Nothobranchius furzeri: one gene and its partners. The main gene of each other region encodes a partner of the protein of the gene in region 2 in a complex. Links are inferred from orthologs where the notes say so. Each region holds a gene or a part of one and is shown on either strand. Other genes may lie near its edges.

Region 1 (4,914 bases), about 220 kb from region 2:
ACCTCCACCAGCTCCTCCGGCAGGACCCCAAGGCGTTCCCGGACCAGATTAGAGATGTAACCTCTCCTACGTGTCCTGGGTCAACCCGGGGGCCTTCTGCCAGCAGGACATGTCTGAAACTCCTCCCCAGGGAGGCGTGCAGGAGGCATCCTGACCAGATGCCCAAACAACCTCAACTGACTCCTTTCGATCCGGAGGAGCAGCGGTTCTACTCTGAGTCACTCCTTAATGCCCGAGCTCCTCGCCCTATCTTTAAGGCTTAGCCCAGCCACCCTACGGAGGAAACTCATTTCGGCCGCTTGTATCCGCGATCTTGTTCTTTCGGTCATTACCCAAAGCTCATGACCATAGGTGAGGTTTTGGACGTAGATCGACCGCATCACTGCAGACGCCGAACCAATCCGCCTGTCAATTTCCAGATCCCTCCTACCCTCACTCGTGAACAAGACCCCATGATACTTAAACTCCTCCACTTGAGGTAGGACCTCTCTCCCGACCCAGAGATAGCAAGCCACCCTTTTCCGGTCGAGAACCATGGTCTCAGATTTGGAGGTGCTGATCCTCATCCCAGCCGCTTCACACTCGGCCGCGAACCTACCCAGCAAGAGCTGAAGGTCAGAGCTGGATGACGCTAGGAGGACCACATCATCCGCAAAAGCAGAGACGAGATTCTCCTGCCACCAAACTCGACACACTCCACATCACGGCTGCGCCTAGAAATTCTGTCCATAAAGGTAATGAACAGAACCGGTGACAAAATGCAGGCCTAGCGGAGTCCAACCCTCACTGGGAACAGGTCCGACTTACTACCAGCTTTGCAGACCAAACTCACGCTCCTCTGGTAAAGGGACTGAGTGGCCCTTAACAGAAAGCCACCTACCCTATACTCCTGGAGCGTCCCCCACAGGGTGCCCCTGGGGACATGGTCCTAAGCCTTCTCCAAATCCACAAAACACACGTGGATTGGTTGGGCAAACTCCCATGCCCCCTCCATCACCCTTGCAAGGGTATAGAGCTGGTCCACAGTTCCACGGCCAGGACGAAAACCACATTGCTCCTCCTCAATCCGAGATTCAACTATCGATCGGACCCTCTTCTCCAGTACCTTGGAGTAGACCTTTCCAGGGAGGCTTAGGAGTGTGATCCCCCTATAGTTGGAACACACCCTCAGGTCACCCTTCTTAAAGATGGGGACCACCACCCCGGTCTGCCACTCCACAGGAACTGCCGCCGATGACCACCCAATGTTGCAGAGACGTGTCAACCACGACAGCCCTACAACATCCATAGCCTTGAGATACCCAGGACGAATCTCATCTGCCCCCGGTGCTTCGTCGCTGTGTAGTTGTTTGACTACCTCAGCAACTTCTGCCCCTGAGATTGGACAGTCCATCCCCAGGTCTCCTGGCTCTGGTTCCTCCTCGGAATGTGCATAGGTGGGATTGAGGAGCTCCTCAAAGTATTTCCTCCACCATACGACTATTGCCCCAGTTGATGTCAGCAGCTCCCCATCCCCACTGTAAACAGTGTGAGCAAGTTGCTGCCTACCTCTCCTGAGGCGCCGGACAGTTTGCCAGAACCTCTTTGGAGCCGATCGATAGTCTTTCTCCATGGCCTCACCAAACCAAGACTTTGCCTCGGCAACTGCCACTGCTGCACGCCGCTTGGCTATCCGGTGCATGTCTGCTGCCTCCGGAGACCCACAGACCAGCCACTCCCTGTAGGCCTCCTTCTTCAGCCTGACAGCTCCCCGAACCTCTGGTGTCCACCAGCGAGTACGGGGGTTGCTACCATGACTGGCACCGGCCACCTTGCGACCACAGCTAGCAACAGCCGTCTGAACAATCACAGAGTGGAACAAGGCCCACTCTGAGTCAATGTCCCCCACTGCTCTCGGGATGCGGTCAAAGTTCTGCCGGAGGTGGGAGTTGAAGACCGTCTTGACAGGTTCTTCTGTCAGGCGTTCCCAGCAGACCCTCGCTATTTGTTTGCGTCTGCCAGGTCTACGTGGCATCTTCCCCTGCCATCTGATCCAACTCACCACCAGGTGGTGATCAGTTGACAGCTCCGCTCCTCTCTTCATTCGGGTGTCCAAAACATACGGCCGCAGGTCAGATGATACGACTACAAAAAACCAAGTGTACCGATGTGCATCCTTATGTTCGAACATGGTGTTCGTTATGGCCAAACTGCGGCTTGCACAGAAGTCCAATAATGAAACACCACTCGAGTTCAGATCAGGCGGGCCGTTCCTCCCAATCACACCCCTCCAGGTCAAGCTGTCATTGCCCACGTGAGCATTGAAGTCCCCCAGCAGGACAATTGAGTCGCCTGATGGAGCACTATCTAGCACTCGTCCCAGGGACACCAAAAAGGGTGGGTACTCTGAACTGATGTTTGCCCATAAGCACAAACAACAGTCAGGACATGTTCCCCTACCCAAAGAAGCAGGGAAGCTACCCTCTCGTCCTCCGGGGTAAACCCCAACACACAGGCAGAGAGTCTTGGGGCTAACAAAAAGCCAACCCCAGCCCTCCGCCTCTCACCCGGAGCAATTCCAGCAAAGGAGAGTGTCCAACCCCTCTCAAGGACTTGGGTTCCAGAGCCAATGCTATGTGTCGAGGTGAGTCCGACTATATCTAGCCGGTACTGCTCAACCTCTGCCATAAGCTCCTGCTCCTTCCCAGCCAGCGAGGTGACGTTCCATGTCCCAAAAACCAATTTCCTTGTCCGGGGATTGGACCGCCAAGGCTCCCGCCTTGGTCTGCCACCCGATCCACACACCCTTCATGTTCCTCCTGCGGGTGGTGGGTCCACAGTTGGATGAGCCCATGTATCCGGTTTGGGCTGGGTCCGGCCGGGCCCCATGGGCGAAAGCCCTTCACCAGGCGCTCGCTCACGGGCCCCAACCCCAGGCCTGGCTTCAGGGTGCGACCCCGGTAACCCTCCGGGCCAGGTACTCCGACTCTTTGAATTTACATTCATGAAAGATCCTCTGAACGATCCTCTGAACCGTTCTTTGTCTCACCCTTCACCTAAGACCAATTTGTCTTGGGAGACTCTGCCAGGGGCACAAATTGCCCCAGACAACATAGCTCCTAGGATCATTAGTGCACTCAAACTCCTCCACCACGATAAGGTGATGTTTCAAGGAGGAGCCAACTCGGCTTCCAAATGGTAACATTTAAATTAAAAAAATCACAATAAACTTTTATTGTTTGTTGAAAATAAAGATATGTCATTGGAAGTCCAAATATTCAAATCAAAATAAAGTAAATATATAAATCTGAGGAAAAGTTGTCTGCTGTGGAACGATCACATCATTAGAAGTTCAATTTTTTCTGACAAGCATAATTCAGGTTTTTATAATAAATAAGGACAGCAATGAGTGACCAGCTTAAACAAACTCCACGTAGACCTCCAACAGAGTCATTGCACATTTTTATTATTACTTCAGCTCAGAATTAAAATAACAATACAGTAAACCACTGCACACAAATAAGGGATTAATGAGATAAACTTCCAAATATGTACCTTTTTTATTAATATTGTAACAAGGAAAATTCTTTCCCACTTTGAGGGTTGCTGGTGTAATCCCACCTTCCTTCATCATGTGTTTCATTAAATATAGATGATTTGTTGTCTCAATATGACCTTTCTGGCATTAAAAGTTTAATGGTTGAAGGTAAAAATCACCAGAATGATGTCAAATCATCAGAAATTACACTTAAAGGATTAAAAGTGGCCTCAAATAGTGAAAAAGTACAAAACCAATAAAAATACCTGAAATAATCTAGAAAGACATTTTAAAGACTGAGATTAAATTATGTGAAGAATCTCAGTCGGTGACATTCTGAAACAAAGATGTTTCATGCTAACTCACCGTGCTGCTTTCAGATAGTTTTCCGCTGCTGGTGGTGGAAGTGTTTAGTGTGCAAATAAAATTGGGGGGCAGGCTGCCACAGGAATGTGGAAATGGGGTCTATACCTGCACCCCCTGACCCCCTTTCCCCCCCAAAAGTCCTATGTGCATGTTTGTGTGATGATGTGAGGGAGCAGGAGGAGAAAAATGTGTGGGGATGGGGAAGAATGGCTGGTTGGCCTAAGCCCTCCAGGGAGTCAGCTCCCCCACTGGCCCTAATAGGCACCTCCGTTGCCAAAATGCCACCCAGGGCATGAAGATCCCATCCCATCTCACGGAACAGTTTTAAGGCTCAGGCTGAGGCCTTTCCACGGAGCTAGCTATGTGATCACGTGGGTCGGATGCTCATTAATTATTCAGAATTTTAGGCTTTTACTACACTTAAACAGAAGAGTGAGTAAACCCCCCCCCCCCCCCCCCCCCCGAGTTGTCATGAGTGTAAACTAGATATTTTAAACCTAAACGTGTTTTGGAACCAGGCTGTAAACATGTTTATTTCTGCTGTGAAATTGGTATTTTTATAATGGGAGTCAATGAGGATTAGCTCACTTCTGACAGCTGCCCCTAGTGGATGAGGGTGGAACTGTTTCACTTCTGTGTTGGCTTCAATTTCATACCTGAATTATGGGGTCTTGTTTGTAACCTGCTACTCTGTTTCAGACAAACAGGAAATGAATATTTTTACACATTTCAGCCAAACTGCTGTTAAAATAAAAAGTAGTTTTGCACATTTTCTAATTTTAGGAAATTTAAATGTGACAAAATAGTTTAAAGCAGCTAAAAAGAAATAAACAAACTACAACCTTGTATTAAAGCCTGGAACCTTCAAGTCGTTATTGGTTGTTTAGGTCAAAACTAACCAACCAGAGGAAGTCAGGGTGTTCATTTCTGAAGGCTTGTCACAAGTTAGTGGTAAAATGATGAAGTAAAACCGTAATCTGACTTCCTGTCAGTAGCAGACAGGAACTAGTCAAGCTGCTGTTCTCCAGGTT
Region 2 (5,011 bases):
CATTTAGTGTTTAAAGTTAGTCTAGTTTTAATTTGTTTAGTAATAAATCTTTAAACTTTTAAAACTTGACTCTCTCTTCTGTTGTCTCTGAGTGAATACGAAGTTGTTACATAATCCCTGCAATAAAAAGTTCCAATCTTCTGGTTAAACAGTACCCACAGATCCATAAGGTTGATTTCATATTTACTATGGAATCTAATGTCTTATGGCTCATTAAATAAAATGTAAATTAAACCTTTACATTGATGTAAAAACTTGTTTGACATCGTGCCCCAGCATTCAGAGCCTATTAGCTGCTGGACTCCACTGGTGGGTATGTGGGAGACGGACACTGATCTGGAGAGAAAATGCTGCCGACAACCACTACAGGCATGCATCAGTACGATGGCGTACATGGACTACTACATCTTAGTGAAAGGTGTGTTGCAGTTGGCTCAGGCTGCCTGAATGACACTTTTGCTCTGGAGGATTGCCCTGCACCATGGCTGGAACAGCACCAGTTCAGACACGCTGCTTGTAGGCAGTTTGTTTTGTGGCAGCATGTGACAGGGGTTGCACGAAAATAAGCAATCAATGATGAACAGTCTGCTTCTAGACCTGCAGAAATGGGACACACAACAATACAACAGGAGTAAGCTATCACTGTGTCAACTTGATGAAGAAATGTAAAAATCAACATTGTTTAACTGAACAATCACACGATAATAAATCACAGTGCATTTAGTGCCAACCACAGCCTTAAGACGTGTGTTGAACGTGCCCAAGTCCATACTTATGAGAGCACCATGTGAGCACCTGTGTGCGTACACGCGTTTGTATATGTAAGGTTTTTCTATAGGAGCGTCCAATAGAGAGTATGAGGGGCCACAGATCTTCCCCCCAAAGATACGTAGGAGATGGAGGGAGCTCCAAGTCCCAGAGATCCGGGAGCTGCCCCAGAGCACAGGAACCCCAAGGAGACCGCAACAAGAAAAGCCCCTGCCCCCCTCGAGAGGCGCAGAGGAAAGCCTCGGGTGGCCACAACCAGCAGCCGGTGGAGTTCTGGAAGATATCGGCGGCAAGCCCACAGGCCCGCCCGCAGCCTCCCACCCCGCAACCGGCCAAGCCCGGGGCCCAGGGGCGACCACCCTCACCGGGGACCCAGCAGAGCCCAGGGACCCAGACCCCACCAGGCAGCCACCGGGATTGATCAGGCAAACGCCAAAAATCTTAAACCCCCTGACCTGGGAGCCACGAACACTCAGGCAGACCAAGGCACCACACCCCACACCAGGTGTGGCAGGCAGAGGGGAGGCGAAGATCTATATCATCAAAAGAAGTCCCAGGAGAGGGGAGGAGTCAAAGGCGCCACCTGACATATGCAGTCATACACAAACACAGTCACACACTCCCTCCCTTATGCTCACACATGCACATACAACCAAAGACTTACAAAAATGCACGCCGGACACCCACTCATGCTCCCCATACACACCCTATTCACTCTGGTCCCGGTACTGCTGCACATGGGGTACAACCATTACCGGTTCCCAGAGTTTGACCCTTTCTGCTGGGGTGCTGATGAGCAGGTTCCCCCGCCCAACGCTGAGCACAGCAACCCACCACCCCAGACCCCAACCAGACGGCCAGATCTCCCTCCTCCAGCCCCAGGAAGCCAAGCTGGTTCTGGTTTCTGTGTTAAACTGTTCTAATTTCATCATAGTCCCAGAAAACACACACACGCACACACACACACACACACACACACACACACACACACACACACACACACACACACACACACACACACACACACACACACACACACACACACACACACACACACACACACATTTATAAAAGAGATCTGATCCCTGATGGGTCAGCAGGTCAGATGTTCCTGCAGCTTTACTCACCTGTGTGGGAACAGCTGACTCAGCGGTGTGTTTTGGGTTGTTTTTGTGTATTTTGTGTGTTAGTTTTGTGAGTTCAGACACACTAAGTACAACAAACAGACGGTCGGTGTGAGCAGGAGGTCGTTGCTCAACTCTGACCGGACCTGACGGAGGTTCTGAGGTCGGACGCTTGATAAGACCCGGCAGCGGGGCAGCAGGAACATTCAGAGGAAGAACCAGAGAGATGAAGATGATGAGGTTACTGGTCTGTCTGGTGTGTGTTGCTGTGACTCAGGTGAGCTCCACTTTATCCTCTAGAAAATTCATGAAATGATCTCACCTGTAAGTTTGACTGGTTTAACTGGTCAAATTCATCCTGTTTGACCAAATCTAGAACCAGATACTCTTAATGTTTATTTGTCTGTACGAGTTATTGAATGAAAATGCAGCTTTTATAAAAATAATAATAATAATAACAATAACAATAATAATAATAATAATAATAATAAATAATTAATAATAATAAAGGCTGGGCAGAAACTGGAGGATGCCATTAGTGTGAATGTAGAATAAAAGGAAATTACATTTTTCCTGATAATTTCGTAAAAAATGTTAAAATCTTTCATTTAAAGGCAGAAATTACAAGAATATAATTATATTTTTCTGGCTGACTTTAAAATTGATAGAAAAAAACGGAATTATTTACTTGAATCTGAAGGAAAAAAATGACTGAGCTGAGTAAATAAATAAGACATATGTTCTGGTTTTATTGAGAAGAAATTACAGGAAAATTTCAAAAATTCCCAAACGTTCTTCCTCTGACAACAGAACCAAATGTATTCTGAGAAGGTCGTCTTTTACTTCCCAAATATCTGGGACATTTCAGAACATTATAATGAATACATTAAAATAGTTGCTGGTGAATATTAAGTGAAGATCTGAGAGGTTTTCCTCGTTATCTCATAATATTTATCAGGTTTTGTGTTTAAACGTTTGTTTTATACTGAGAAAGTTAGAATTTAAGATGAACCAGTAGAAACCCACAAAGCCACCTGGACCTACCCAGACCGCTGGAAGAACATCGGTTTAGAGCTGCAGCTGATGCAGGAGCGTTTAAAATCATTTATATTTGCCGAGAAACGTAAAACAAGGCCTCAGACTTCTGAGATTAGAGTTAGGATTGTGACTGTTTCTCTGAATCTTCTCTAAATATCAGTTATAAGAGAGAACCATGATGTCGTCTTTGGACACAAAAACCGAAAAGCTGCATTTTTTTTATTTTATCTACATTTAAAGTAACCAGGAGCCGTGGTGGAAGGCCCACCGAGCTACTAGTAGCTCCAGAGCCGCAGATTTCAGACCCCTGAACGAGACGTGGTTCATCGGGTGAACAGGTGCGTGCTAGGGTCTTCCACTCTGGTGCTACATTAGTGTCCATTTCATCTACTACAGGTTGCGTCTCAGGTTGACCCGAGAGGAGCCCGTCCTGTGGAGCCTGCTACCCGATCAGACAAATGTTCCACCCAGAAGGAGTGGCCCTTCTGCACCGATGATGACTGGGTAATTCTGCTCTTCATCACCTCATAATCCACCCGTCAGAGCTGCTGATGCTCAGGAGAGCAGGAAGGATCACTCCAACGTTGAAACTCTTAATTCCAACTTCTCACATGACAGATTAAATGTCTTTAGTGGCACGAAGAGCCTTCCACAGATTTTAATCCCTCCTTGGTGTCTGACGCTCAAACTGTTGCTTTGTGCTCCACCAGCTCTCCAAATGCCCGTCAGGCTGCAGGATTCAGGGCTTGATGGATAAAGCGGACCATGAGCTGCTGAAGAAGATCGAGAAGATCCGCAGCCTCCTGAACCAGAACAAGGCCAAGCATCGCTCCACCGACCAGGTGTCCAAACAGACCTACGACTACCTACGGGACAGACTCACCACCGATTCTGGTCCGTTTGAGGAGAAACCTTTCATATCTGACACACTTTAAGAAGGAAAGCGAGGAGAAACAGACTCGGAGAAGGTAGGAGGGTGTTTGGTTGGAGCTGATCATGAACATGTTTGACTACAGGAAACAACAACAACTACTACGACCTGGCCCAAAGCCTCCGACAGAGGATCACCGACATGAAGATCAGGATCGACAATCAGATGAACACTCTGGCTGCCCTGAAGAATCGGGTCAAAAACCAGGTCACCGAGATGCAGAGGCTGGAGGTACGGAGAGTCTGCAGGGACAAAAACAAAGTCTTAGTCCTGAAAACGACACGAATCAGCTGTTTTTATCTGAACATAGAAAATATAAAGATTAACAAACAGAACATCAAACTATTAGCTAAATTAGGTAATTTCCTGTTACTAAAACAACAAAAACACCTATTAGACCCAAAAGATCCTCCTGCTGTTTAGAAGCAAACATCAGAGGAGTCTAACCGGAGTTTAAATTCATTCTGTAACAAATAACGTCCAATTTTCCATGAAGTTCCCACAAAGCTTTAAATGTTGTTCTGCTGCCACCAAAAACTCTAGTCTAGTTATAGATAGATTAACATCAGAGCTACCTGACTGGTGCAGGGTTATCTGAGTATTTGCTGCCCAGATTCATCTCTCCAACCTTGTCTTCTGTCAGGTTGACATCGACATTAAGCTCCGTTCCTGCAAAGGTTCCTGTGGTGGGTACAGCGAGTACCAGGTGGACAAGGAGAGCTACGTCAACCTGGATAAACAGGTAAATCAGGATAAATCGGACCTTTGTGAGGAGGAATTTCAGCCGGACTCATTCTTGGCACCCTCCCTCAGATGAGGCAGCTGGAGGCCCAGTCGGCCCAGAGCGTCGAGTCGGTCGGGACGCTGTATGTGATGAAGACCAGCTCTCTGCAGACTGCAGCTGCAGAAACCAGATTCAAATCCAAGGATGTAGGAGGTCAGAAGAAAGACGACGTCTTCTCTGAGGTGAGAAGAACTCGAGTCCAGAAGGTCTTGGGGTGAAGAAAAACACCTGAGAAGATCGGCAGCAGCCTGACAGCAAAATACAGAGATCTGCATCCTCTTTGACGTTGTGATAACACGCCTGAATGCTCCAGACCAGCAAATGCACAAGATACACATTTAATCAGTTAATCAAAAACACAAGTCC
Region 3 (5,019 bases), on a different chromosome or scaffold from region 2:
TTATATAGCACCTTTCAGACACAGAAACAATTCAATGTCCTTTCCAGGTGCAAAATCAGAAAGAACAAAAAGCATTAAAATCAACGTGACAACAGCAGATTATAAAATCAAATTTTAAAATACCAATAAAATTGGTAGTAAGAATAAGATTAAAAGTCTAAGTTAAACAGTTACAGTGCAGAAGGTGCAGCAGAAGACCTGGACCCGGAGTTGAATACCGCTGCCCTAGGTGATAGAGCTAGGGAGATCTTTAGGTCAACTACATATCTATGATAAATAATGAAATGTAATACCAATGCCCTATACACTGGCACTACTGGTTACTGATGCGGGTGGTGGTCTTTACATGTGTTTAAAAGAATTGCAGCTTGTGTTTATTTCTGATGATGTTTATTATTTTGTCTTGTTCCAAAATGTCCATGATCCATTTACTTGCAATTAAAGTGGTTTACAGTGAATGCATTACTTGCCCCAATGACAGTCCGCAGAGTCCGTTACACACAGCCACACAATAAAAAACTGTTTGTCCCATCACAGCAACACCTGAGTCTAATCTGTGTTGGCTTAAGTAGGCTGGTGCTTCCACAATCAATTGACCAATCAAATGAGGCCAAGCCTCCTCTCAGGTATGCAGAAAGAAAATGAAAACACATATGGCTCCTACAGATAATGTTGCATAATACCTTACCCAAGGGGAGCATGTCGAGATTGAAGAGCAGTGGTCCAAGAATTGAGCCTTGGGGGACCCCACGTGTCATGGTGATCTGCTTTGCTTTGTGATCACCTATAGAAACAACATAACCCCTGTCTGTGAGATATGAACCAACTATGGACTGTGTCATATAGTCCCACCAAGTTCATGAGCCTTTCAAGAAGATGTTGGGGTTCACAGTATAAACAATCACATATTTTAACTTGTAGCAAAGTAGAAAACTGTTTAAAATACATGAAATTTCTCCTTTCTTGTTACGTACAGTCCCACATTTTACTAAAATGAAAATCAGATTGGAAAAGATCCTATTTAGTGAAGAACACAAAAGCAGACACACTGAAAGAACAGCAAGCCCCGTTGATAGCTCAGGTTTATTTAATACATATTATTACTGAGGGATACTTTGGGGGTAAATGATACATGACCCGCACCTGTATAGCGCCTCTCAGAGTAAGGACTCCAAAGCGCTTTACACTACAGTGTATCATTCATCCATTCACACACACATTCACACACTGATGGTAATGAGCCCTGATGTAGCCACAGCTGCCCTGGGACGCACTGACAGAGGCGAGGCTGCCGAGCACAGGCGCCACCGGTCCCTTCGACCACCACCAGCAGGCAAGGTGGGTAAAGTGTCTTGCCCAAGGACACAACAGCAGAATTCTCTGTCCGGAGCCGGGATCAAACCTGCAACCTTCCGATAACTGGACAACCCGCTCAACCTGTTAAGCTGCTGCTGCCCTAATGGGTAATGTTTATCCTGAAGCTGCAGCTGATATGAGAAAAGTCAAGCTTGCACCAGTGGAGTTATTCAAGAACTAGTGTGCTCACAAATGCCACCAGCTGCAAATGAAGGCCAAAACGTAGCATATACTTCACCAGCAGCCCTTCATTAAATCAATTTTAAATCAATGAAGTAAAGATTTTACTAATGTACCAAATAAATTACTATCTTGACGGGAAAATATGAGCAAAAAGAACAAAACACACCTGTGTCATCATTCACACAGGACCTCTAACCAACACACACTCACGCAGATGTTCTAAACCCAACTGTCCATTCGAAAGCGTCACATCTGGGAATCAGCTGCGGTCGGACGTTTGACTCACAGGTCTGGAACAACAAAGTGAGTGGGATGTTTGCATGTGGACACTCTTATCAAAGGTTGATCGGGGGACCTTGTTCAGATAAATAACCCTCGGAGTCCAGCAGCTCTTCACTCTCCCAAAAAACCACAAACTGGTGGCTGAATCAGCATGGCATCATCACTAGAAGCAACAACAGGAGTTCTTCTCCTACTTTTCTCACTCTCTTCAGCTGTAAGTGGCTTTAATTTTATGTAAAATGTTTATTCGTGAAGAAAAATTATACTGACGTTTGTTTTTATGTGTGCAGCAAGTCAGAGGAGACAATAGTGCATCATGCAACATGAATGATGGCTTTGTAAGTGTCTAACTTCATCACAAACTCATACTTAGTGATTTTTTTTTGCAGTCTAACTTTTTGTTTCTGTATTTATTCAGGGGAAGTATTGCCCCACCACGTGTGGCGTTGCTGATTACTTTCTGAGGTATTTTCCTGGAGTCAACGAGGACCTGAAGACGATGCAAGCAGAACTGGAGACCATCACAAATTTGACTCAAGGAGCCGATGAAACCATTGTGTACATGCGAGACTCGGCCACTTCAGCTCAGAAATCTTCACTGACAGGTGACATCATCATCTGGTTCAGACTCCAGTTTAGATTTTATCCTTAGTGTTTTATATGTTCAGTAAAACACAGATGAGATTTTACACGAGAGGATTGTTTGTGTCACTAATCTGGTTTGTTGGGATTTTCAGATCCGTACTTTAAGAGGTCCTCCAGCATGCTGGATGATGTCCTTCGGTTTGAAAAGACTATTATTGCACAAGAACAGCAAATTCTGTGAGTTACGGTCAGCATTTAGACGTTATGTTTCTAGTGTGTGAGGACATGATGTCAGCTAAATGTTATTTTACAGTTTTTAGTTCAATATTTCACATCTTTTCATTAGTTTATTTGTAGAAAGTAAACTAATGCGTGCGTCTTTCTTTTAAAACACTCATGTAGTGTCCTGTTGCAGTGTAGCAACTCTGAGTAAACACCAAGCTAAACCTTTGTCAAATAGTAAAGGAGTCAGAGTAGAGTTGACCTTTTACTCTTAGAGCCTTCATTTGACAAGCGGTGAAAACTGTAATTGAAAACAAATACAGAACAGAATAAATTATCATGTTTACATAAATATTGCCTCACAAACTAGCTCAAAATAAGACTTGACGTAATTGTATTAGCCTGAGGAAAGAAAATGACCATCAAACAAATTCCTCTTTTAACATGTACAAATCAATCATTGTGGAACACAAATAAAATAGTTTTGTTTTTGTATTTTTTAACAACATTCCCAAGTGGTTGGCTGTGGATAAGCCTCAGAGCATGACCGCATGCCACTCTCACTCTCAGAGCAGCCAGTAAGAGGAGGTAAACAGGAAATTAACCAATACAGGTAACCCAGCAGGAAGTGAGATTATTAGTAAGTTCACCTTCAAAATAAAATCTTCCCATTTAACATTTTAACCTATTCACTGTTCTTTATAACTTAAAAACATACAAATGAATAACTTTAAATGAAACATAAAATATAAATGACATAAATGCCTTTTGAGGCGTCACAACTCATATCCTCCAGCTTCATGTATTAGTGAGTTGTTATATTCTTTTACTTTTTTGTCTTGTATTTTATCCAAAAAGAACACTCTCAAAAACTGTGACACCTTTTAGAACATTGTAGTCATCATTCATAATAGAAAAGTAATTTCAGTCATCTGGAAGAAGTAAAAACTTTTTGAAAATCTATTTCAAAACAAATTATACAGATACAATATATAATTATTTTTCTTAAGTTACATATTCGATACAAGACGTGTTTTTAAAGTTGTTTGCACTGAAATCTTCTCACATGAAGCCTTCTCAGAGATTTTTATATTTGTCAGATCCAGAACTTCCATAATGAGCCGTTTCAAGGTCTCTATCACAAACTGGAGCTGGCCATGCCCACCCAACCTTGCTCAGGCTCCTATAGGCTGAGAAGCTCTGATGTCTGGGAGGGGCTTGGAGTAGAACTGCTGCTCCTCCAGCAGCAGCCCTCTCTTACATGTGAGAAGTGGTTCTATTCTAATTTCCCAGTTTGTGACCTTACAAACGAGGGCCTTTTGAAACGGATTGTTTTAGGCACATCATTCTCAAAACCAAACCCTGACAAAAAAAAACGCATCAATGCATTTTTGCTACATGTGGAGTTTTTATAGAGGCAGTAGAGATCTGCCTGCTAACACTAAAGGATGCAAAAGGTGGTTTTGTATATCATGTCCCCTTTAAATCAAGCCATTGAGAAATTTCCCAGCCCATTTTTTTCTCAGTTTCATTCTTAGTTTATTCTTCTTCATTTTTTTTTCTCCATTTGTCTCCACTGTCAATAATAAACATGACAATCCTTACTGGCATATTTCCAAAGTTGTGGTTACAAAGCAATAAAGTGACTTTTAGACACAACCCATGTTTGTGACGCTGTTTCCAGGGAGCTTAACGATTTAATCTCCTCTAATGAGAGGACAATGGGGGATCTGAAGACGCTTGCAATGCAGCTGCAGCAAAAATGCAGTGAACCCTGCAGAGACACAGTTGAGATCCAAACTACCACAGGAACAGGTAAAAAAAAAAAAAAGACACATTGACACACTCTGACCTTCAGGCCATTCCTGTTTCACAATAAGTTTCTCAATCTGCCCTCAACTGAACAACATTTGTCCCAGTTCAGTGTTTATTCAAAGGCTGAAATCAATATGCATCATCCAAGCAGAGGACACGTGCTCATTTTAGCCCTAATCGTTTAGCCTTAACCTTTCATTTATGAGTCTCATCAAATTAAGTAAAGGAACTTCGTCTCAACATGTTTGAGTTGATTTATTTTCTTCTCTTCAGACTGCCAGGATGTTGCAAACAAAGGTGCTACCACTAGCGGTCTTTACTATGTGAAGCCAATAAAAGCACAAGAGCAGTTCTTGGTCTACTGTGAGATTGACAGCTCCGGAAGAGGCTTCACTGTGATCCAGAGGGTATGGATCACCTTTCTCCTTCTTGCTTTTGCTCATGCATGTTTTTCTTCCAGAGAGACATAAAAGATTTCCAAACATTCAAAACTGGATTTGTTTCATTTTTCATGTCCACAGAGACGCAACGGCGCCTTGAACTTCACTAAGGACTGGGTCCAGTACAAGGAGGGAT

What was found. Proteins that work in one complex are often made in the same cells at the same time.
Region 1: the proteins of fga (region 2) and fgb are in contact, whole or in part, in a crystal structure (PDB 3GHG), measured with the Homo sapiens proteins. The link is inferred for Nothobranchius furzeri from reciprocal best matches to the Homo sapiens genes FGA and FGB. Residues at the interface, in NP_000499.1 of Homo sapiens: Ser66, Gly67, Cys68, Arg69, Met70, Lys71, Gly72, Leu73, Ile74, Asp75, Glu76, Asn78, Ile85, Leu88, Lys89, Leu92, Gln96, Leu113, Phe117, Tyr127, Arg135, Ile138, Leu141, Lys142, Val145, Lys148, Ile152, Gln156, Val159, Gln162; in NP_005132.2 of Homo sapiens: Ala89, Pro90, Asp91, Ala92, Gly93, Gly94, Leu105, Cys106, Pro107, Gln111, Leu112, Leu116, Gln119, Ile123, Ser126, Leu130, Val134, Val137, Trp155, Arg158, Gln159, Val162, Asn170, Tyr172, Ser173, Glu175, Leu176, His179, Gln180, Tyr182.
Region 3: the proteins of fga (region 2) and fgg are in contact, whole or in part, in a crystal structure (PDB 3GHG), measured with the Homo sapiens proteins. The link is inferred for Nothobranchius furzeri from reciprocal best matches to the Homo sapiens genes FGA and FGG. Residues at the interface, in NP_000499.1 of Homo sapiens: Trp60, Asn61, Lys63, Cys64, Pro65, Ser66, Gly67, Met70, Leu73, Ile74, Val77, Asn78, Phe81, Arg84, Ile85, Leu88, Ser91, Tyr95, Asn98, Leu105, Ile109, Ile112, Asp116, Ser119, Arg123, Asp124, Tyr127, Val130, Ser131, Asp133; in NP_068656.2 of Homo sapiens: Thr47, Thr48, Cys49, Gly50, Ile51, Ala52, Asp53, Leu55, Tyr58, Gln59, Val62, Asp63, Leu66, Gln67, Leu69, Glu70, Leu73, Thr80, Ile87, Ile90, Gln91, Tyr94, Glu98, Asp106, Ala107, Ala108, Thr109, Leu110, Ser112, Arg113.

Annotation. Positions count from the first base shown.
Region 1 is NC_091742.1:90,743,045-90,747,958, forward strand, and holds the start of fgb (fibrinogen beta chain), read left to right. Parts: upstream 1-1,773; 5' UTR 1,774-1,783; intron 1,784-4,914. UniProt on the Homo sapiens protein: Cleaved by the protease thrombin to yield monomers which, together with fibrinogen alpha (FGA) and fibrinogen gamma (FGG), polymerize to form an insoluble fibrin matrix. Fibrin has a major function in hemostasis as one of the primary components of blood clots.
Region 2 is NC_091742.1:90,960,936-90,965,946, reverse strand, and holds the start of fga (fibrinogen alpha chain), read left to right. Parts: upstream 1-2,012; 5' UTR 2,013-2,118; coding exon 2,119-2,169; intron 2,170-3,326; coding exon 3,327-3,434; intron 3,435-3,640; coding exon 3,641-3,824; intron 3,825-3,946; coding exon 3,947-4,092; intron 4,093-4,504; coding exon 4,505-4,603; intron 4,604-4,674; coding exon 4,675-4,827; intron 4,828-5,011. UniProt on the Homo sapiens protein: Cleaved by the protease thrombin to yield monomers which, together with fibrinogen beta (FGB) and fibrinogen gamma (FGG), polymerize to form an insoluble fibrin matrix. Fibrin has a major function in hemostasis as one of the primary components of blood clots.
Region 3 is NC_091744.1:17,238,369-17,243,387, reverse strand, and holds the start of fgg (fibrinogen gamma chain), read left to right. Parts: upstream 1-1,878; 5' UTR 1,879-1,972; coding exon 1,973-2,035; intron 2,036-2,111; coding exon 2,112-2,159; intron 2,160-2,239; coding exon 2,240-2,426; intron 2,427-2,558; coding exon 2,559-2,643; intron 2,644-4,312; coding exon 4,313-4,443; intron 4,444-4,716; coding exon 4,717-4,850; intron 4,851-4,964; coding exon 4,965-5,019. UniProt on the Homo sapiens protein: Together with fibrinogen alpha (FGA) and fibrinogen beta (FGB), polymerizes to form an insoluble fibrin matrix. Has a major function in hemostasis as one of the primary components of blood clots.